Astyanax mexicanus: one gene and its partner. The protein of the gene in region 1 binds, or shares a complex with, the protein of each later gene. Links are inferred from orthologs where the notes say so. Each region holds a gene or a part of one and is shown on either strand. Other genes may lie near its edges.

Region 1 (12,042 bases):
TTTGTTTGTTTGTTTTTTTTATCATTGATTGGCCATTGACCATCTTAATAATTAAAAGTTTATTGCTTTATAAAAGAGTGTAATAAGTTGCTATAAACTCTCAAAAAAAATGTCATTGGGGAGGGGTTCCCCCAGGGCTGTGTGTTCAAGTACATATATATTTGTACTATACTCATTTGCAATTGTTTGTTCCCTGCAGATACATTTACACTGTTTGGTTTTACTTTGGATTAACAAAAATGTACCATCCCCCTTCTCCTGACAGTGTATAATGATTAGATTAGTGTCATATACGCTCTTGAATGACAAAAATATTGTTTAAAGCAATAACTTCTGCGAAAATATATCATCCAAACAAAAGTAGGTATAACGATGGACCTACGTTTAGATGTGTGTAAGCCATTAAAGCTCACCTTCCGCGAAAATCCGATTTTTCTTGTTTTTTGTGGAATACAGTAGGTCTCTCCGAGTTGAATGTGTACACCTGCACATTAAACTGTTTTGCAGCCCCCATTGTCTGCAGGAGCTAAGCCAAGAAATCCCCCCTCCCTCCCTCCGAAAAACGGGTGAATTTTGAATTATCTTTCTGCCTACGTAGGCAGAAACTCACAGACCAGCCCACCTTGGCTCGAGAAACTCCCAGAGGCGGAGCTGAAGCGACGCAACATCACCGCTCATCAGTTAGGAGGTGGGAGGCAGTGAGCGGCAGAGCGGCGGAGAGGCGTCGCAGTGCTCCTAGCCAATCAGAGGAGAGATATTTGCATGCTGTTTGCATGTATGAATATTCATGAGCAAAGCTGGAATCCGGTCATTTTGGACACACCCCTAAAACAGTCCATTAAAAAAGAGCTATACAGAGACACCTGAGCACTTTTTCTTTACAAAAACGGCTCACATGTCATTCATTCATACTAGAGACCACAACTAGACATTTTAAAATGAAAGAAAAAACGACGGAAGGTGAGCTTTAACCGATTAACTGTCTGTGAGTAACAGTACCAGCAGCCCTGTTCTGTTTAGATAGACTGCCCTGCTTAAGTGTGAACTGCAACACGTGAATAATTGTTATATTGACATGTAATCGACACAATCAAGGCATATGGTAAATACATATTTGGTGGGTGGAAATGAGCAAGCAAGGAAATGTGAACAGAATGCTCCAACTGTTGCTCAGCAGGGGAACACCAGCAGCTTCTATATGGGATGTGCTGTGGAGGTGGGAGACAGGCAGACGCGCTGACAGATTTGGGTCAGGATTTGAAATGTTGGTAATTTTTAATCAGCTCTTTTGATGCAAGGCGGTGCGCACAGACACCGAACATCAACGCAATGGCTTGAAAGCCTTTTTATCCTGCCTTTCTATGTGGATCCTTTCAGTTGTTGCATGACAGCCTTGCATAGTTCAAAGAAGATATGTGCACACTGCACCAACTTCAGTCTAGTGGAGATATAATTATTGCCTTTTTTTATTTAAAAATAAAATGACAAAACTGAAGTAATGCCAGACCTCATGCATTTAATATAACTGTGACTGAATTTAGAGCAAAATTTATTCCTCCTCTGCTCAGTTCTTTGAAAGGCCTGAGCTCCAGCAGGACTGTGCCGCAGCCTCTGGCTCTCTTAGACCACTGAGCAAAATGTGCATTTTGACTGCTGTTTACCCGTCCTTGTTAACGTTTGCAGAGCCGTGTTGTGCACTTTCACCTTGTTGTGCACCTTGGCATGCAGTGAAAGGGATTTGGGAGAATCAGCCCTCGCTTTTGCACGCCTCTATGGGCAGCTCTCATGCAGTACTTTCAGGAATGTGTCCTAGGTACTTGTTTACAAATTTCTGCCATCTTGGTTTCCTGGCTACAGCCAAACCTGTTGCACCAGACAAAGAGAGAAATATGTGGCCCGAACACTATCATGTTCCAAATTTGCGAGCTGAGAGAGAAGAACAAAGTAAACAGAAAGGTACAGTAGTTGCCTAATTTCCCTCAAAAATGAAAAATGAATTACACAAAAAAATCAGGATAACCTTTTTGCAAACCCATCTTAAATCAATGCAACATGATCTGAACCAATAACCAAAGCTTAGAAATGCTCATTTAATCCCAAGGCATTCCTGTAAAGATTTTGTGCCAAAGTCCAAATGAATTCCAGTAGTAATACTGAAAACCTCTTTTGCAATAATACAAAAATTGTTAAGGCTCAACGCAAATGCAAGCCTACATATGCATAATTTATGTTACAAAGTTTCTTTATGTTCTCTACAGAACAGAAACACTTTGCTAGGAAATCTTCAAAAAAGAAAAAAGAAAAAGGTGGTGTGACAGGAATGTGTGTGAGCTAGCATGATTCATGTGTGACTAGACTAAAGAGAATGGATGAGCATAACTGAAATAGCAAGCTAGCTATGATTGTAGAAGCAGGCAGGAAATCTGTAAAAGAAAAAATGCAGAGTGAATTGATTTGCCCCACAGAAGTCCCCTCTCTCTGTATACACCACAGATTATGGGTGTGCCATATCGAATCAAAAACAATATATCATGACACAGTAATATTGTAATAAAAATAAGAAAAGGCTTAAATCTGTGTTTATTTTTACACTAACAATATACTTATTTTTATGTTTCAGTGTTTTATTATATCACAAAGAAAATATTGTTAGCATTAAAATACCATGAAATATTGTGATCTTAGCTACTTCAAGCCCATATCGACAACTAATAACATCACAGATCAGATAAATTATTACCCATCCCTTGGGTTCATCCAGCTGGTGGTGTGGTTGAAGGTGTCTATGTAGTTTAACCCTCTATGGCATTAATTAACTTTTTGAAGCTTGGGAGTCCCTGTAGATATAGCTGGCAAACTTAAATTTAGAGTCTGTCTTCTGATAACAGGCTGATCATTTGAATCAGGTGTTTAAGAGCAAGGAAGCACCCAAAACATGGATGCTTTTTGGGTAGGAGGAGGTCTCCACCAGGACCAGAATTAAAAGAGAACCACTGCTTCATCATGATTAATCTGACAATGGAGTTCTAATTCTAATGAAAAAAAAGTAAGTTCACAACAGGAAAGTAGGAATATAGTAAGAATACAGACAGACAAATATACAGTTCTGGAAAAAATAAGAGACCACTTAAAATGATGAGTTTCTTTGATTTTACCAGATTGAAAACCTATGGAATATAGTCAAAAGGAAGATGGATGATCACAAGCCATTAAACCAAGCTGAACTGCATGGATTTTTGCACCACGGATGGCATAGTTATTCAAAAGCAGTGTGTAAGACTGGTGGAGAAGAACATGCCAAGATGCAATAAAACTGTGATTAAAAACAGGGTTATTCCACCAAATATTGATTTACGAACTCTTAAAAACTTTATGAATATGAACTTGTTTTCCTTGCATTATTTGAGGTCTGAAAGCTCTGCATCTTTTACGTTATTTCAGCCATTTCTCATTTTCTGTAAATAAATGCTCTAAATGACAATGTTTTTATTTGTAATTTGGGAGAAATATTGTCTGTAGTTTATAGAAAATACAACAATGTTCATTTTACTCAAACATACACATAAATAGCTAAATCAGAGAAACAGATTCAGTCTTTTAATTTTTTCCAGTGCTGTACTTCTTTCACCTACTCTTCCACATATACATTTTATGTAATGCTTACCTATATGCCTAATTGTATGGGAAGAGATGTAACGTTGTATTAAATATGGATAAATGAGAAATAATGTATGATATGGACCAAAACATTGGTTTGTTTCCCGAGGGCAACACTATGCCTTAGAGGGTTAAGTTAATTAAACTAGTGACTTTTTCTGAATAAATAAAATATTATAAAATATCAGTGTTTATTATTATCACAAAGAAAATATCATTATAGCAAAAAATACACTAAAATATCACAATATTAATTACTTTAAGACCATATCGCCCACCCCTATTACAGATCATAAATTATTAGGTTACCTATCCCTGGGGTCAATCCAGCTGGTAGTGTGGTTGATATGGTCTATGTAGTAGACCTTCCCGTCAAAATCTCGGGCTTCTTCCCAACCCTCTGGCAATGGTAACTCCTTCCTTGGCATGTCCAACTAGTCTCCATGTAATATGCCCGCTAACGTTGAGTCTTGTAGATCAATTTGACGGCGAAGAAGCATGTGTAGTTTTCGGGCTGATCCAACGCTAAAACAGCGCCCAAGTGCCATTAACTGCTGAGGAGCGAGGTGTGTGCGTTTCTGGGTCTGGGAATCTGGGGATAATCCATTATATTTCAGGGTATTCCAGGGTATTCCAACAGTATTCCCTTCTGCTCCTACAGATTCCACCACAGATCCTACAGTTTACAACGGAGCATCCTGGCAGAATCCGTCCACCAGGCAGGAGCAGCCTACCAACAGCCTACCAACAGCTACAGCCGTGAGCACTGTAGTTATCTAGCTAAATATAAAAAAGTAAAAAAATAAAAATAAAAAAAACTGTGCTTATGAAATAAAGAGTTGTTTAGCTAAATATTTTTTTAAAAAAAAGTAAGAGAAAAAAAAGACTAGGCTTATGAAAGAGAGTTGCTTAGCTAAATTAAAAAAGGGTAAAAATACTCTGTGCTTATGAAATAAAGAGTTGTTTAGCTATTTTAAAATAAACTAAGAATCAACTCCGAAACATTACACACATTAGCTACCTAGTTAGCTAACCTAGACAAGTTGCAAACTCAGGCTGTTCCAAAAAGTTTCAGCTAGACTTTTTCTCTATGAAGAGAAGTAACTTAGCAACCTAAGCTAGCTTAGTTAACTAAGTCTAAAACAGGAACCCTAAAATACTAACACTAACAAAAGTTCTTCAAAGAAAACTGAGAGAAAATTACACCAAGCTACGTCTATTCCACGTCCACCCCCGCAAAAACAAACTCCTCCAAAAACCAAAACAACAAAACATGCTGGAGTTCCCCTCCTCAGTGCCTGCTGCTGCTGCTGTCCACCATGTTTACGCTAACCTAGCTAGCCAACGTTAGCGCTGTTGCTGCGTTAGCCTGTTAGCTTAGCAAGTGAGCCAACCCAGCTTACGCTTGTTAACTAGGAGCAGACCCCTCTCTCTCTCCCTCAGTTCTCCCTCAGTTGTGCTCCGCACAACCCTCGCCCTCTCTTCTGACTGCCTCTATCTGTTATCCAGGGTCTCCAAAAAACATTTCTTCAGAAACTCGCCACTTCCAGCCGTATATTTCCAGCTCTCGCTTCTCCTTTAAGTGGCTGCGGTTCTCCCTCAGCTCCCAAGCCAAGCTCGGTCGCTATGCTGCGGTTGGATGAATGGCGTCATACAGGTGATGACCGTAATTCTCCCAATAGCGGAGCCACGTACAGACCGAGCACTTTGGAAACACTCGCTGGCTAACCTTCCTACCTGTCCGCAGCACAACACATCAGTCCTCACAGCGTCTGCTGAGGATAATTTCTGAATAATAATATTATAAAAATATACTAATATTATCAGTACATAAAGCATGTTACATATATATATATATCATATCACTGTCCGATGAAAACGACAGTTGGGGTTAAACGAAGTTTATCCATTAGAATTTTAGTTTTCTAGCTACATAATTAGAAAACAATCTGTCCCTACACTTTTGTCATTTTTTGTAAATGGACCAATAAAGAAAGAACTGCTTCAAATTTACCTGATATAAACTATTTTTACTGTTCACCAACGTCTACTGAAAGTTCAGAAGGTTTTTATCTCTCTCTCTTCTGTTAAGGTGTTGATTTGGAGATACGTGTTTTTTCCACTGGGCAGTAACAACATGATACAGCTCAGTTTCTGAATTAGTTTCTCTGATTTTGCTATTAATAGCTATATGTTTGAGTAAAATTAATATTGTGGTTTTATTCTAGACCTCAAATAATGCAAAGAAAACAAGTTCGTATTAATATAAGTTTTAAGAGTTCAGAAGTCAATATTAGGTGGAATAAACCTGTTTTTTATCACAGTTTTATGCATTTTGGGAGTGTTCTTCTCCACCAGTCTTACACACTGTTTTTGGATAACTTTATGCCACTCCTGGTGCAAAAATTCAAGCATATCAGCTTGGTTTGATGGCTTGTGATCATCAATCTTCCTCTTGATTATATGTCAATTTGGTAAAATCAAAGAAACTCATAATTTTCACGTTTCTTTTTTAGAGCTGTATATTACTGATTATAAAATGCCAGCTGCATCTTTCCCGCCTTTACAGGAGCAAGCTGGAGTGACGTTTCCTGGCTGCGGGCGAGCAAGTGTTTAGCGTAATTCCTTCAGTCCGTTTATTGCATTTACAGAGTGCGGCTCCATACTATGAAGTGCTTTATCATATATAACACATTCACTTTCATTCAAGCTGTATTTATTTGATCAAACAAGCAGCTGAACAACAAAGTTAACAGGGCCCGTCCACTTCCACAGCGGAATTAAACACGAACAACGCCCTCCAACGGAGGAAGGGTGAACATCGCCAGTGTATTTATTGCAGCTGAGAGTTTAAAAAGGCACACTGAAATTTTCAGAACACGATTAGATAGGATGGTAATTAAATTGTGTAATTAAAAAGTGTTATTTGGCTTTTAATTTTAACTTTTCAACTATTTTTTTACACTAATGTAGTGCAACATATGTCAGAGTGATGTAGTTATGATTGAGCCATTGGCAATAATACACACATTTACATTTTTGTAAAAATGTTATGTTTTAAGTAATTCTCTGAATATATGTTTTTAGAAACAGCAGTTACTAATTCCAGATGTCCCAAGTCTCCTGGAAATATCTGTAACGGCTCCCTGATGCCCGCAAGTCAGATAAAATCACCCAGAATCTAAAACAAGTGGCCCAGGAGTAAACACATACATTTGTTAAAGAGAATTTGACTTTACTAATTTACTATATTGCATCAAACATTTCACAATAAAACCCTAACATTTGGCTAACATGAAATAAACAAAAAAGTACTATAATAAATAAGCAATATAATTATTAATACTTCTATAAATATTTATACATAAAGAATTTATATACAGTGTGCATTTTGTATTGTTTATACACATAAGAAATACAAACAAAATGTCTTTCCATTTTTGTCAGTGAAAAATCTTTCCAAAAATCGTGAATTTAATCAAATGATCAACAGATTCATCAATACACTCTAGTCATGTCCATTAAAGAACAGGGTGAAAGAGGATAATAATGTATACAGAGAAACAGGAGTACTGCAGTCTGTAATAACAACTACAATGTGTCCTATTATTATTATTATTATTATAAGATGGACAATGAGTGTAGAAATAAGAAGGAGGTCATAATATTGTGACTTGACTGTGTATTATAGAATTCAACTCATGCATGTTTTTTTTTTTGGCTAAAATTTTTACTTACTTGTGCTTACTTGTTTTTGAGAAAATTAATCAGCTCTGCATCTTTCGTGCCATTATAAAGTTCTTCACATTGTCAGTATTAACTTAAGTTTTACTATTAAGTTTTATCTATTGTAATGGAGTAAAATCAAACCTGTTTTATACATTAAGTTTTTTACAATTTAGATTTCAAGCATCCACACCCAATTTCTATTTCTAGACTGAAGACTTGCAATGCTGCTTTAGGAGGATGCTGGGACTGCAGCACACGGTCTTTACCAAGTTTGCCTGCTATTGTGTTTATACCTGGCAACCTGAGGTGTGGAAATAGAACTGGGAAATGGGCAGGGTCAGAGGTGGAGGAATCAGAGTGTAAAACACAAACAGTTTTCCAACATACTAGATGTCAAGAGATAAGCAGGTTTTCTTAATATGCTGTATGATGGCATATGCTGATCATTTTATTACTTTGTAAAGTAAACAATGAATAAGTAAAAATTATGTGAGTCAGGTACATTTTTGTGATTGTCCTAATAGATTATTAATATTAACTAAGAATTGCTCCACAAGTAAGCTTGTGTCTGGACTTGTTATAGGGTAAGTAAGCTACAGTAGCTGGGTTATCATGTATCTACAGAGAGTTCTTTCTCCTTCTCTGTGGTACAGGAACATACTTTAATCAAATGTTCTGCAGATAACATTCACTGCCTGCTGCACATCTTCTGAACATGAAGATAATGACTGCTTTTTATGTAAGTCATCACAGCTGTATCTAATGAATATTTTTAATGAAGAACTGGCTCTGTTCCTGCTTTAATCACAGAGCAAAAAGACTGCATGGTCTGCATGCTGTTGGTGACTCCTACTGCAGTAGTGGGCCAAGCATTAAACATGGGGCCTCTGGGATATGTGGTCAGCACAGATCCTTAAAAACTGAGGAAGCAGTAATTGTACTGCACAGATATATCTCAATATCATGCCTAGCTGTGTTCACAACAGCATGGCCATAGTGATCTTGGTACTGGATGAAAGCACTTATTTAACTGCAGTTCTTTTAACTGACATCCAGTGTCAGGAATCTGACGAGATTCAGCTAAGATCCCTGTGGAATGGAATGCTGCTTAAGAATTTGTTTACTGAGCTCTATACTGGTGATGATAAATAAATTAATCCTGCTTTAAGATAATTTATTTGGTTAACTGAATCTGACACCCTGTGTCTTATAAATAAATGTTCAAAAACCCATCTACCTGTAATGGAATCTATATTCACACTGAACACTGTTCAAATTTATAGCATCAAAATCCAATTCCTGAAGTCTATATCCATATATTTGGTTGCTGTATTAATGACACACATACTGGAGGCTAAACCTAGCTAGTCACATTAATGAGCTTAGTGTAACATGCAATTCACTTAAAGATTCTGTATATAAAACTATGATTCTTTCTGCCCGTAAAAGTCACACAAGGGTACATGCATCTCAGACTAAAATAAATGCTTTCTATTAAGCCACCGCTCCATTTTTAATTCGCAGCACAGAGTTATGTATGAAGCCCAGAGAAAGTCGTGGAACATCCCGCACTCTGCCATCTTGCATGTGCAATGCTGCTTGGGGGTCACTGTCTTGTCTCTCACCCTCCTGCATTCACATTGACAGGCAACAGATTAACAGAAGACCATTCATTTCCTGTGGAAGGGGTCAATTTGTAGCCATGACACAGTGACAAGTGGCAAGCGACAATTTGGAAAAAAAGTAAAGCTAGGAAGAAAGTAGTGGATAGCTCGATAACTTGGTAACTTGGGTTCACACCCACCCACGATAGCGTGAACAGCCTCAAACACACCCACAAGTGACAAGCGTTGGACAATGCAACAAAACTGTTGCCTGTTAGCGTCAAAGCAAAGTTAGAGAAGGCAATACAAAACGAAACATTTTAGCAGGGCAGGACTAACATGCATATGTGTCTAAACTGGCTATAAACACCAAAAGCACAGAACAACACACACAGAGGGTGTGTGACTATATTCTCCACTGAGAATGCCTATACTCCACTGCATTTGCACATAGATATTATTTGTTTGTTGCATTTTATTGTCAGTTTAATGCTTAAAATGTAGTATATATAATATTTAACCACTGAAACTAATAAAATGAAAACGCTCTATTTCACAAAAGCACTGATTTTCATATCAACTACTACATGAATAGAGCATGACATTTGTGTAGGCCACAGACATAGGTTCAGGATTCAGGATTAAAGGGGTTACAACCCTTCCACCATCTACAACCTAGCCATCTAGCCAACTCACTGTGTAATTAATTTAGATGAAAGTTATTTAGTTGGACCTAATAAGTGCTAATACTCCCAAAGTATCACTTGAGAACAAAGTTCTACTTCATCCACTCAACCATTAAACATTTGTGATTGGATTTCTTGTGCGCTTTGATCGTTTTCCACTCATTAATAAAGCTGTTCAGTAGGTTTGCATTTACATTCTTTTCTGTGGTTGAATGCCCTGAGCCCCCAAACTCCACATGTTTAAGCTAGAATATACTTAAGGGCTTATCACCTACTTGCCTGTGACTAAATTGCCACAAAGTTCACTTTTCTTCTCACAAGGATGCAGAGGTTATATTTAAAAAAACAGCTCTTTATTTTCTGATGTTTAGATATTGTGATTTGGTGAATTGTAAATTATATATTTTTTTAAAACCACAAGTATATATATATATATATATATATATATATATATATATATATATATATATATATATATACATATATATAGCTCTGGAAAAAATAAGAGACCACTTAATGATGATGTTCTGAAAACCTTTGGAATATAATTAAGAGAATGATGGGTGATCACAAGCCATCAAACCAAGCTGAACTGCTTGAATTTTTTAACCAGGAGTGGCATAAAGTTATCCAAATGCAGTGTGTAAGACTGGTGCGGGAGCTCATGCCAAGGTGCATTAAAACTGGGATTAAAAAAAACAAATATTGATTTCTGAACTCTTAAAACTTTATGAATATTATAAACTTGTTTTCTTTGCATTATTTGAGGTCTGAAAGCTCTGCATCTTTTTTGTTATTTCAACAATTTCTCATTTTCAGCAAATAAATGCTCTAAATGCTCTAAAATTGTTATTTGTAATTTGGGGGAAATGTTGTCCATAGTTTATAGAATAAAATAACAATCTCCACTTTACTCAATCATATACCTATAAATAATCAAATCAGAGGAACTGATTCAGAATCTGAAGTGGTCTCTTAATTTTTTTCAGATCTGTATATATATATATATATATATATATATTTTTTTTTTTTTTTTTTTTTTTTTTTTTGGCCAGATGTTCTTTTCTATCAGGAGAACAGCCCTCCTCTTTCTCCTCCTCCCACAGGAACGCCACGCCCCGCCTCCCGCCTTCGACCAATCAGCGACTGAGAAACAGGCGGGCGCTTCTCAACACAAAACAAGCGAGGCAGTCACGTGTGCTGGTAACCAGGCGCTGAGCTCGAGCGGCACGGCGCGGCGCCACAGCAGCAGCAGCGGCTCCACCACCACCAACCCCACAGCCAACAGCAGCTGCGCCGTCCCCCCGGCTCCGCTCCGCCTCGCCCGGCCCACATGGTTCTGCTCCGGCACATCTCTGTCGCTCTCACCGCTGCGGTGACCGCCGTCGGAGCCGCTTTATTCGTAGCTGTAAATTTACTGTACAAGAGGCGCGTATGGACGCCGGAGGACTACTACGTGTTCAAGGAGGTGAGCTGTGTTTGTTTTGTGAAGTGTCTCAGTCTCACAGCGCCGCCGCAGAGTTCCTCAGGTGGGGCAGAGGTGAAGATTACACTGCGCACACAGTCACACAAACTTCCGGAGCAGGAGTTTACCTGCTGAACCTGACCGTGTGTAGCTTACAGCTCTGAGGAATACTTCACTGAGGTGTTCCAGCCTTTCAAACGGCTCCTCAACTGAGGAGTAAATTATTATTAAGAATATATAAGTCTAGTCAGCAAAAAAGGAGGAAAAAGAAGTGAAACAGCATAAAAGGGAAGGAAAGTAGGCTACCTATTCCTAAATATTTACAAGTTGCAATTTCTAAATATATATCCTAATGTTTTACATAAAGTTTGGCAGAGAAATATATATTGCAATACATTTTGTTAGCTAACATAATACCCTTCTCTCTGCATGTTTTGGATATGGCCAGTGCTTTAAAAACACTGTCAAACTGACTTTTTATTTACAAAGGAAAGCAAATATTTGGCCACCCAAAATATTTTGAACAAAATGGCCAAAAAGTTGGGAAGAATATGTAAAAACATCAAATAATAAAAAAAAAATTGGTGTGTTTGTTAGGATGTTAAAAATTGTAGTTTTGTAATTGCCTTTTCTTTAAAAAGCTAGACAAACATATCTTTTGGAGGCAGTGGTGAAAAAAAAGGCAAAATTAATGAAAAACCTAAATGTAAGAAATGTGTGTGGTGGTCGGATAAAATGTTTCTAATTTTGATCCAACTCTCTGTAATGTGCACAATACTTTTCTAAGAATATAATGGATATCGCAGTCCTGAAGAAAACACAGACCAACTGAGTATATTTAATTACAAACAAGGTAGTTATTTGGGATGTGCCAACAGTTGGCAAATGGCAAAAAAAAAAA
Region 2 (10,126 bases), on another chromosome or scaffold:
CGCAAGATTCTGGGGGTAGGTGGAAGATCTGGGGAGGTCAGCTTGAGGGCCAGGGCTGTTAGAGCGGTACATGATGCCATCAGCCATGAGGGCTCCGTGCCACTGTGGAGCCAGAGATTCCTTGGAGCCCTTCCAACTTGGCCTCCGTAGAACAGGCTGCTGGATGTGAGAGGGGCCTGTGTAGGAAACACAAACACACACACGCAAACACACACGCACACAATTACCACCTTCAAACAGCAGTAGGAGAGACATGGCAACATTAAGAGCATTAAAACAGGCCATCTCGGCAGCATACAAACATATTAAAACACACACAAGCACAAACACCATTCCAGGTTTATTGGTATTGCTCCCATGTGACATTCCTACAGAATAAGTGACCACAATGCAATAGAACACTGGTTCTATGAATGAGCCAAAGAGTGGACATTGCTCCCCGGAGGCGGGGCACACCCACCAGCTGCTTTGATGGCTGCGTTAGCTGGACGTGCTGCTACAGCTGCCATCTGCTCTCTCACTGGGTCCTGGTAGCTCATCTTACTGATGTATTCTTTAGCTGCCCCCACACTGCGATTGTTGGTATTCCTCAGAGCACAGATCACCAGCTCCTAAACACACACACACACACACATTTAACACAATCACACATTTAAAAAGTCAAACTATCATCAAACATGCCTCCACATTTACTTAATCTGTTTTGCAGGTAACGAATGCAAACAAAATAAGTGAATTATATGAAACAGCGCAAAAAGACAAGCTTTCCTTTATTGTTTACATGAATAGAGCTTGCATTTAAACATCTTATGCAGGCTATAAGAAAATGTTATGCCTAAATTATTCCACCAAACAAAACATCAGAGTGTTTTCTCCAACAGAGCTTAAATTTTAACAAAAAGAAAGCATCCAACACATAACTGTGGCTGAAAACAAGTGCGCAAAACATTGCGCCATGCCTTGTACTACTGCTAAAACTTGTCTGTCCACATTCCACTGCTGTCATTCCTAAACTATGTTAAATGATCACCTGACAAGAGAACATTCCTATTTTGACAAACATATTGTAAACCTGTTAACCCATGCTGGGGAATTTATGTGCTGTATTTGGTCGGCTCTCCTACCTCGTCAAAGCCTGCCGCCAACAGCTCCTGTAGCATCTGCATGTTAACCTCATATCCACGACCGGTGCAGGTGGGCTCGTTGGCAAATGGCAATAATGATTCTCGAATCACCTGCAGGGCTTTGTGGTGGGGGTTTTTGGGGTTGGCACTGCGGCCCTGCTGGCGCGGGTCCTCTGGCAGGCTCTTGCCCCCACCTGTCTCCACCTTGCCAGCATCAGAAGACAGGCGGGAGAGGTTCCGTAGGCTCTCCCGTATCTCCTGCAACATCTGCTGACTGTTGCCACTGTAGTTGCTTGCCGGAAACGTCTTCGGCCGCATCTGCCTGTATCCTTCGAGTTTCTCGCTTCTCTTCATGAAAAACCATGTATCTCACCAATCCCCAGTGTGAATGAGATGTTGCACGGTGCACAGTGACACTGTGAAAGTGTTAACAGCAAGCAGTGGATTTTACCTGCATACCAGAGCGATGCCCAAGTGTCTGTATATGCAAGGGTCAGACAAACAAACAACATTCAAAAAGAAGGAGAAAGAACAACAGGGTATTAGAATGGTTTCACTATAAAGGTCTAGATATAAAGTTAGTCTAAATCAACTCAAGAATCAACAACACTAGTTATGTCTAAGCGGACACACACTTATTTTGATAAGACAGCCATACATAAACAAACCTATATGCTATCTATCCTTCTACACAGTTTGCAACGTAAACCTCAGATGAAAGTATTTGTGCAGGTGGATACAATATGTGAGCTCTGCCCTGCTGTCAGTACCTGGAAGATTTACTGTGAAACAAGCAAAGCGTCAGTGTGAAGTCATCTTTCCAGAATAACAACAATTTTTTTTAAACACAGACTAGCCACTATTAACAGCTTATAATAATATTAATAACACTAATTGTTTAGCAACTTTTTAACGTTTAAGCCAATGCTAACTTAACTAGCCCAAAGATGCCTAATAAAACTCTAAAGGTAACAAGTACAAAGCAATAAAATTAACTGCTGACTGCTGAACAAAAAACGAATTCAAATCTTTTACGTTTTTTTTCAGCAAGTTTTTTATTTTTTTAAAAAAAGGTCGTCCAACATCTGAATGTATTGTTTCGCTCACCCAGGTCCTAACCTAGTTATTACAACTAATTATATATTATTTAAGTTATATAGCGATAAATAAAGGCTAAATAAAGCTAGTTAACTAACCTAGTTAACTAACTAGGCAACTACCTAACCTGGCCACCCTTGTAAAAAGTGTATTAAAAAGTACTTAAGAGTATTAAAAGTATGTTCAAATTAGGTAAAGAATATTAAAAATGCATTTGCGGTTTAATATACTTTATGAAAAATACAAATTAAACATATTTTCTCTGTATTTCCATAAAATGCATTTTAACCAATATGCTTTAAATGATACGTTGTGTCGATAGAAAATATAAATATTGGCATTAAATACCGCTTAAAGTGCACTTTAGTGTATTTTTCCCCAGTGTCAATAAGGAACAATATGTGCATCAATAGGCAAAGTAGTACATTTACAACATACTTCAAGAGTATTAAAAATGTTTCTAAAAACACATACTTAAATCCACTTAAGTTCGCAGAAGATATACGAAAAAAAGCACTCAAAAGCACAATTTAAAACTTTTATATTGTGTTTAAATAGAGCTTAATTACAACTGAAATATACTTAAGTCGCCATAAATTGTCTCAAAATGGTACATTTACTAACGTTATGCATTTAAGTACATATTTTAATTCCATGTTGAGTATAATTTAAATATATATACTTAATACACTTTGTTATACAAGGGCAACAATTAGTTGCCAGCTGCTATACAAACAAACAAACCAACCAACAGAGGATACATTAACATTACTCCTCCAGCGGCCGTGTTTAAACAGGGTTAGTTCGATGTTATCTAGAGTTATTTAAATGTACGGTGTTATTTTATCTTTCAGTAGCGACTCTTCTAACAGAGCTTCATGTTGAACACAGAAGATCGTTAGCCTGGCTAGTTCAGGTTAGCTAAGCTAAGCTAGCTAAGCTAATGTTGCAGAGTTAGCAGCACAGCTTCACTAGCTACCACTCTAGTTAAAGACTAGTTTTATCCCGCTCATTTCGAAGCCTGCGGTGTTGAATTCTCTGCTCCTGAGAATAAACACTATAAACAGCGGTGTTTCTGCTGGGAGAAGTTCACTCCTGGTGATAGCAGAGCGCCGAGGCCTAAACACTAACGATTCAGAGCGGAGAGCGGAGCCTAGCTTAGCCGTTAGCCCGGACACCCAGCACAGACTTAAAGTTACTCACCGTCGACTAAAGAATATCCATACTGAACCCAGACAACATCTACAGCGCAGTGTCGGTCTGAGGAGCCGAGGAACTCCGCTAAAACTCAGTGAAAGTGTGTGAAAGATCCGCTAGCTCCAGCTAAAGACTCGGCTTTGTATTGACACGGTCGCCTTGGCACTCCGAGTCTGTCAGAGCGGAGATGCCCGGATGTGTGAACGCTTCACTCTGCTCCCGTACAGAGATCACTCAGCTCAGCTCAGCTCTCTCTCTCTCTCTCTCTCTCTCTCTCTCTCTCTCTCTCTCTCTCTCTCTCACACACACACACACACACACACACACACACACGTTTTTACGGAACCCCTGAAGGGACATGGTGTATTTATTACGTAAAAAAGTGGTGAGCATCAGATATTAAGTGGTGAGCACCACATACTAAGTAGTAAACACCAGATAGTAAGTGTGAGCCTCACATACTAGGTAGTGAGCACCAGATAGTACGTGGTGAGCACCAGATAGTAAGTGGTGAGCCTCACATAATAAGTGGTGAGCACCAGATAGTAAGTGGTTAGCCTCACATACTAAGTGGTGAGCACCAGATAGTAAGTGCTGAGCACCAGATACTAAGTGGTGAGCACCAGATACTAAGTGTAAGCCTCACATACTAAGTAGTGAGCACAAGATAGTAGGTGATGAACCTTGCATACTAAGCTGTGAGCACCAGATACTAAGTAGTGAGCACCAGATAGTAAGTGGTAAGCACTCCATACTAAGTGCTGAGCACCAGATACTAAGTGGTGAGCACCACATACTAAGTGGTAAGCACCAGATAGTATGCGTGAGCCTCACATACTAAGTAGTGAGCACCAGATTCTAAGTGGTGAGCACCAGATACTAAGTGGTGAGCACCTCAAATTATGTGGTGAGCACCAGATAATGGTAGCCAGAAAGCTATAGTTTAAACTGACATATTTCACAGTGAAATAAAGTTCTTAGCTAGCTAGCTAGTTTAGCTAACCTTAACTACTTTATTTTAGTGTGGAATGTTTTAGATAGGTAGCGAAAGGTAGCTATAAGCCCAGAGCTAACGATAACCAGCTAACTCTTATGGGACATGTAAACTAAACCAAGCTAAATTTGCTGTCTTTAAGTTAGCTTGCTCGATCTTTGCAAAAGCAGCCTACATTACAAGCTAAATAATCCACACAGTTTTGATAACTGGATAGAGGATTGCAGAGCATGTGCACAGCACAACGTAGCAGTCTGTAAAGTCATGTACAGATCAGTGACTATACAATATGGTGCTCACTGCTTACTATCTTGTGCTCACCACTTTTTTATGTAAAAAAAAAAAATACACCACATTCCTAAACTAAAACTTAACTAAACATAACTAAAAGTGCCCTTTAGAGTGGGAAAACTGGCCCCACATATGTGTGTGAGTAATGGGACCAGGAGGAGTTAAACATGGCCCCCTCTGGGCTGTACACTGAAAATAGGGCTAAATATGAGCCGTAATATTCAGGATACGTTTATATTACCAGGCTAAAAAAATCCGTAAACATGCCAAATCCATTTATTTTTTAAATGTTTTTAATTTAAAATCAGATTTGAGTCACTTCCATATACAGTCCTATATCAGATATGTATCCGATCCATGGACATGCGAAAATATGAACGGTCAAATCAGAGTTCATGCGTCTTTTTGCCTTTACGCATGCGTTATGTGCTTCTCTCACACATCTCTTGGCTATTGTTGAAAAATAGCAAAAACAAGCCGCCTGGCCTTTTTTCTACTCCTTGACCTGGCCATGTTCTTCAGACAAGCTGTTTATTCTCCACTCCAGCAAAAGATGCTCCACATATGAGCTGCTAACTCATCCATTTCCCTTTATAAAGCTACGAGTCGTGTCTCATATGACATTTTTTGTTGTTTGTGAAGAAGGTGACGTTTATACACATAATTACATTAATGTGCGCATGTGATGCGTTTTAGGGACAGATCCATTGACATTACACACAGATACAGGTATTTTACATTTGTGAATGTAAACAGTCAAAATAATAGTCAATAGTCAAATAATGATGCCCTTTAATGATATGGCCTCATGAGTCCATGCTCACCCACAATCCACCTAGCCCATGTTCCACCTATGTGACCACCTTACTCTACACAGGATTGCATTTGGTTTAGGAGCACCACAGAATTTAATAAAATGTAATCACCGTCCAATCAGATCCCACTATTTAATTGGAGAGGGGCTAAAAAAAAAAGTAAAAAGACAACAACAAGAATATGGATGCAGCATCACCCTCCACATCAACAATAATGGATGATATTGTAGTCTATGCTTTTTGGAAAGTTTTAATATATCTGCCATTGTATGTGGAGCACTACTATGTATGATGTATAAAATAGTATGTAATCCATTTTTTGCCTGTCCTAGCAAGCAAAATCACACAATATTGGATCTGCTAGACACCCTTTATGTTTATTTTTGTGCAAATTGATTCAACCATGATTCAAACTATACTTACATTAAATCTGTATATCCTGTTTGTATTACATTATTCAAGTCTTTCTTTGTTCCTTGATATCAAGGCAGTTCTTGTAACTGTTAGCAAACCATGCTAACAGTTACAAGACATGACTTTGCAGCATATGCTAGTCTTGTATCAAAGTAGTTATGTAGCTAGGTTTTAGTACTTCAGATATACTGATTCGATTGTTATATGGTTTTATTTGTGTGCAAGCCTGATAACTGCTTGTGAATCATGTTAACTTGGTATCTTTTGTGTTCCTGTAGGGCAGTGGTTCTCAAACTGTGATGTGAAGCATTCCAAGGTGGTACACTGGATGACCTAAGAAAATAAAAATCTGCTTGCCTTAAAATATTGAAATCAAAGGACTGAAATCAATGTTTCCACCATAAATGTCCTAATATTGCATTTGCTTGTGTGCAGTTAGAACATGTATGTAACCCTAAACCTCAGGCCTTCACTCTCAGATCGACAGTTTTATAATTATTCAGATCAGTTTTATCTTGGCCCTAGTGTAAAACCCTGTAAAACACCACAAGTAAACTATACTAATATGGGCATGTTATATGTTTGTAACCTACACTAATCTAGCACACAATATGGACATTGGGGTACCTGTTCATTGTTTATCCTGCTTGTATTGCAGTAAAACTCTCTCTACTTCTAATTTAGGTGCTTTAATTAATCACTTAGTTCAAACTAAATCAAGCTATTAAAACGTGTCCAAGAATTATTGGAATCTTGGCATAACTGCACTATTAATAAAGTAAAGTTGGAAAGCAGTGACATCACAACCTTTACACTGTTTTAGACACTTGCTACAAGTTCATGCATGCCAGGAAATAAAAAGCGAACATTTTGTTTTTAAATTTGAAGGCAAAACAAACTGTATTCCTAAAATTACCCACCTAACATGGATCACTGCATCCAATTTTCAAATTAGAGGGCACTTAACAACATTTTTTTAGACACATTACCTAATTGACAGGTACATCACCAGATTGTTTTGCATTAAAAGGAAACCCTAGCTGTCACTCAACATTTTTACACCCATATAAAGGGCAGCCAATAGGGCAATATGCCAATTAGAGTTATTCATATCCAACCCACACACAAATCAAATTTCAGTCTAACTGGAGATGCATCTGACAACCAAGTGTAAATGCAAGTAGTTAAATCTCATCAATCTTACGATCTAGTCACAAAGGGCATGCTATATTTTACCACTCAAAACACATCAACATTGAAGAAAAAAAGAAGAAAATAAATGTTAATGGCAGCATTTGGTTTTGAAAGCAGTCCATTTTTTGTACATTTTCTATTTACTGAAAAGGTTTTTTTTGCATGATTGTGTCTGCATGCCTAAAACATTCTGCGCTTCCGTAGTGTGGTCATTTTTTGTTTCATAAAATAATTATTTATACACAATTAGAGCCTTAGTATGTTATGTTGTTTACAAAATAAACAAAATGTACAGATTTGGTTTGCTACAAAATTTTTGAAACTATTATTTCTACGAAATAAAACTTTAACATTTGTTTTGTTGCAGTGATATATTATTGAAATTAATAAAATATATTTTAACATCACGTGGCCAAGAATATCACTCACCCCTACTAGTCAAATTAATATCAAAAGGTAAATAATAAAAGGTCTACATCATGACAACTATTACAATTACATCAGGAATACAGACAAGTTGAATTGACTGATAAATAATAGTCCAATAAAAGTCTTGTCATTTTTTTACAATGCAATGACCTCTTTGGCGAACATTTGATAAACTTTGTGACGATTCATATGCAGTGCACACTTTCAAACTCAAATAAAAAGATCACTCTTTTATTAAGTGCATTATCCAAGGAAAGCATAACAAAACAAACAAAAACTGTTGGTCAGGTGAACATTTACTGAAAATAAATCACAACTCTTTGGTGCTGCGTATCACACAGGAACCTGTCTGTTTATGTAAACTGCCTCTCCATCAGTGCCACACACTAAGCACTGTCCAAGCACATCCAGACTGTTGACAGACAGAGTCTGGCTGGGAAGCATGTGAGTGGTCTCCAGCCTGCCCTTGCTGGAGTCTCCATTGAGCCAGGCACTGATGAGGGACTGGTTTCCCCCTGCAGGAGCTGCCGCACTGCGGGACATGATGCTGGTGTTGCGGCCTAAGAAACACAGACACAAAATAAAAGAGGAAAGACATTTGAAGTTTGTATAAGACTGAAAGTCAAGGCACTTTTAAAAGGTACTGAACATGCAGCATCAACACTATAGAATAGCCCATAATCTGCCCATATACTGTCTTCTAATGTTTGGGGACACCTATCTACAGTTTTTAAGGGGGCATATTTTTTGTCAGTATGCAGGATCATAACACTATGTCCAAATGTTTGTAAACACCCCTGCATTCAGATACTTTAAGTGGCACTCATTACTAACACGGATGTTCAATGCACTCAAATAAAGCTTACTTACAATACAATAAGACTTTCAAAAAGATAATCCCAAACCTTACAACCTCATGAGATCATCCTCGTTTCTGATGCATCATATCATCAGGGACAACCAGTCGGGTAAAATGTGTATAATGGATGACAGCAATTTCAGATAATCTCATTCCTTATAAGCAAACCGTTGTTACTTATATGAGTGTTTTCATACTATTATAAACACGGTATAATCTCAAAATGCTAAATATGGCAAAATACTTAAGTTACATTAAGATATTTTCAGGATAAGTAATTTTCTCGAGTAATTGGAAATCCAAATTCAAAATGATGTTTGATTGACAGTGTGTACCTGAAGTTGCTATGTGGAATTTTAACAACCTAAGCCACTTGGATTAAGTAATACTGGACATTGGTCTAACTTCGACTGTAAAGGCTTTAGTTTTCTTTTAGTCAGACCCTGGAAGCCATTGGATTTTACTTACTCTGCAGGAATGAGGGGGTGTCTAAGCCAGAGGAGGTCTCCCAGTGCAGTAGAGAGCCGTCTTCTGAACAAGTAAACAGGTGGTCTGGGTTTGTCGGGTGAAAATGGACCTCCCACACTAGAGAAGAACAAAAAAGATACAATAATCAGTGCCAATGAGTTGACTTGACTTGCAGCTTTCCATACTGACAGATGAAGTACTCACTTTCAGCAGAGTGGGCTTCCATAAGAGAGAAGGGCATGTTGCCCTGCCTCACGTCCCAGATGCATAGCATACCATCTTGGCCTCCAGTGGCCACTATATGCTGCTGGTTTGGGTGTCTGTCCACACAGTGCAGTGGCACTCTGTCCCCAGTGCTACAGAAACAAAAGACATTGTATTACTGCTATACTGCTATAACAGAATGGAGGGAACTGCATGAAACATATCAAACACTGTAACTGCAAATAATGTTATTTTGAAGCTATTTATTGACCCTGTACAGGTAAAGATCTTTTAAACTGATGCAGAAGAACTGATGTGTCTGGTCTGTAATTGCAATTACACCAGCAAACAGTAGTTGACGGAGACAAAAAAAAAATAAAAAGGCCAGATTACAGTACTAAAAAATACAATTGCTCTCATATGCTTTGCTCCAGTATGCTAGGGAAGTCTGCATCAGGCTACGGCTTAGATTCAATCCAGAAGCAGAAATTGATATTTACATTGCTTGTAAAAATAGCATGATTTAAACTCTTCTCAATATAAGATCTGAATATCTGTGGCCATTTCCTGTTGCATAATAGCAAGTAGTTTTCTTTAGAGGTTTAGAAAGTAAGAAAGCAATGCTTCCAGATATAAAACAGAGAAATAAATATATGAACAGAGACTCAAATCAAGAGGACATTCTGACTGAAGTAAAAATAATAATAATATTAATAATAATAATAATAATAAATATAGCCGCAAGCGGCGATTTACGGGGTTCGAGCGTTACAGGCAAAGAGACCCCTGGAGGCCAGTTAGGCTTAAAACATGTTGCCGGTTGACCGGCATCGCCAAACTGGATGAGGATGACCAGCATGACCGTGAAGACCAAGCTAGATTACCAGCATGACTAATCTGGATGACAAACTTGTTGACCATATAGACCAAGCTGGAAGACCATAATGACCAAACTGGATGACCAGCATGGCAAAGGTGGTTGGCCAGTATGACCAAGCTGGAAGACCACCATTACTATGAGGACAAAGCTGAATGACCA

What was found. Proteins that work in one complex are often made in the same cells at the same time.
Region 2: the proteins of wwc1 (region 1) and lats1 are in contact, whole or in part, in a crystal structure (PDB 6J68), measured with the Mus musculus proteins. The link is inferred for Astyanax mexicanus from reciprocal best matches to the Homo sapiens genes WWC1 and LATS1. Residues at the interface, in NP_740749.1 of Mus musculus: Asp17, Tyr23, Ile25, Asp26, His27, Arg30, Thr31, Thr32, Ser33, Trp34, Asp64, Val67, Tyr70, Ile72, Asp73, His74, Lys77, Thr78, Thr79, Gln80, Ile81; in NP_034820.1 of Mus musculus: Ala546, Glu547, Ala548, Pro549, Ser550, Tyr551, Gly553, Pro554, Pro555, Pro556, Pro557, Tyr558, Leu562, Leu563.

The regions. Positions count from the first base shown.
Region 1 is NC_064424.1:17,689,806-17,701,847, reverse strand, and holds the start of wwc1 (protein KIBRA), read right to left. Parts: upstream 5,307-12,042; 5' UTR 4,086-5,306; coding exon 3,967-4,085; intron 1-3,966. Other genes in the region: arl10 (ADP-ribosylation factor-like 10), read left to right, coding at 11,010-11,144. UniProt on the Homo sapiens protein: Regulator of the Hippo signaling pathway, also known as the Salvador-Warts-Hippo (SWH) pathway.
Region 2 is NC_064408.1:49,368,541-49,378,666, reverse strand, and holds the start of lats1 (serine/threonine-protein kinase LATS1), read right to left. Parts: upstream 3,645-10,126; 5' UTR 3,426-3,644; intron 1,603-3,425; 5' UTR 1,479-1,602; coding exon 1,125-1,478; intron 612-1,124; coding exon 461-611; intron 177-460; coding exon 1-176. Other genes in the region: nucleoporin Nup43, read right to left, coding at 7,890-8,116, 8,884-9,000, 9,088-9,239. UniProt on the Homo sapiens protein: Negative regulator of YAP1 in the Hippo signaling pathway that plays a pivotal role in organ size control and tumor suppression by restricting proliferation and promoting apoptosis.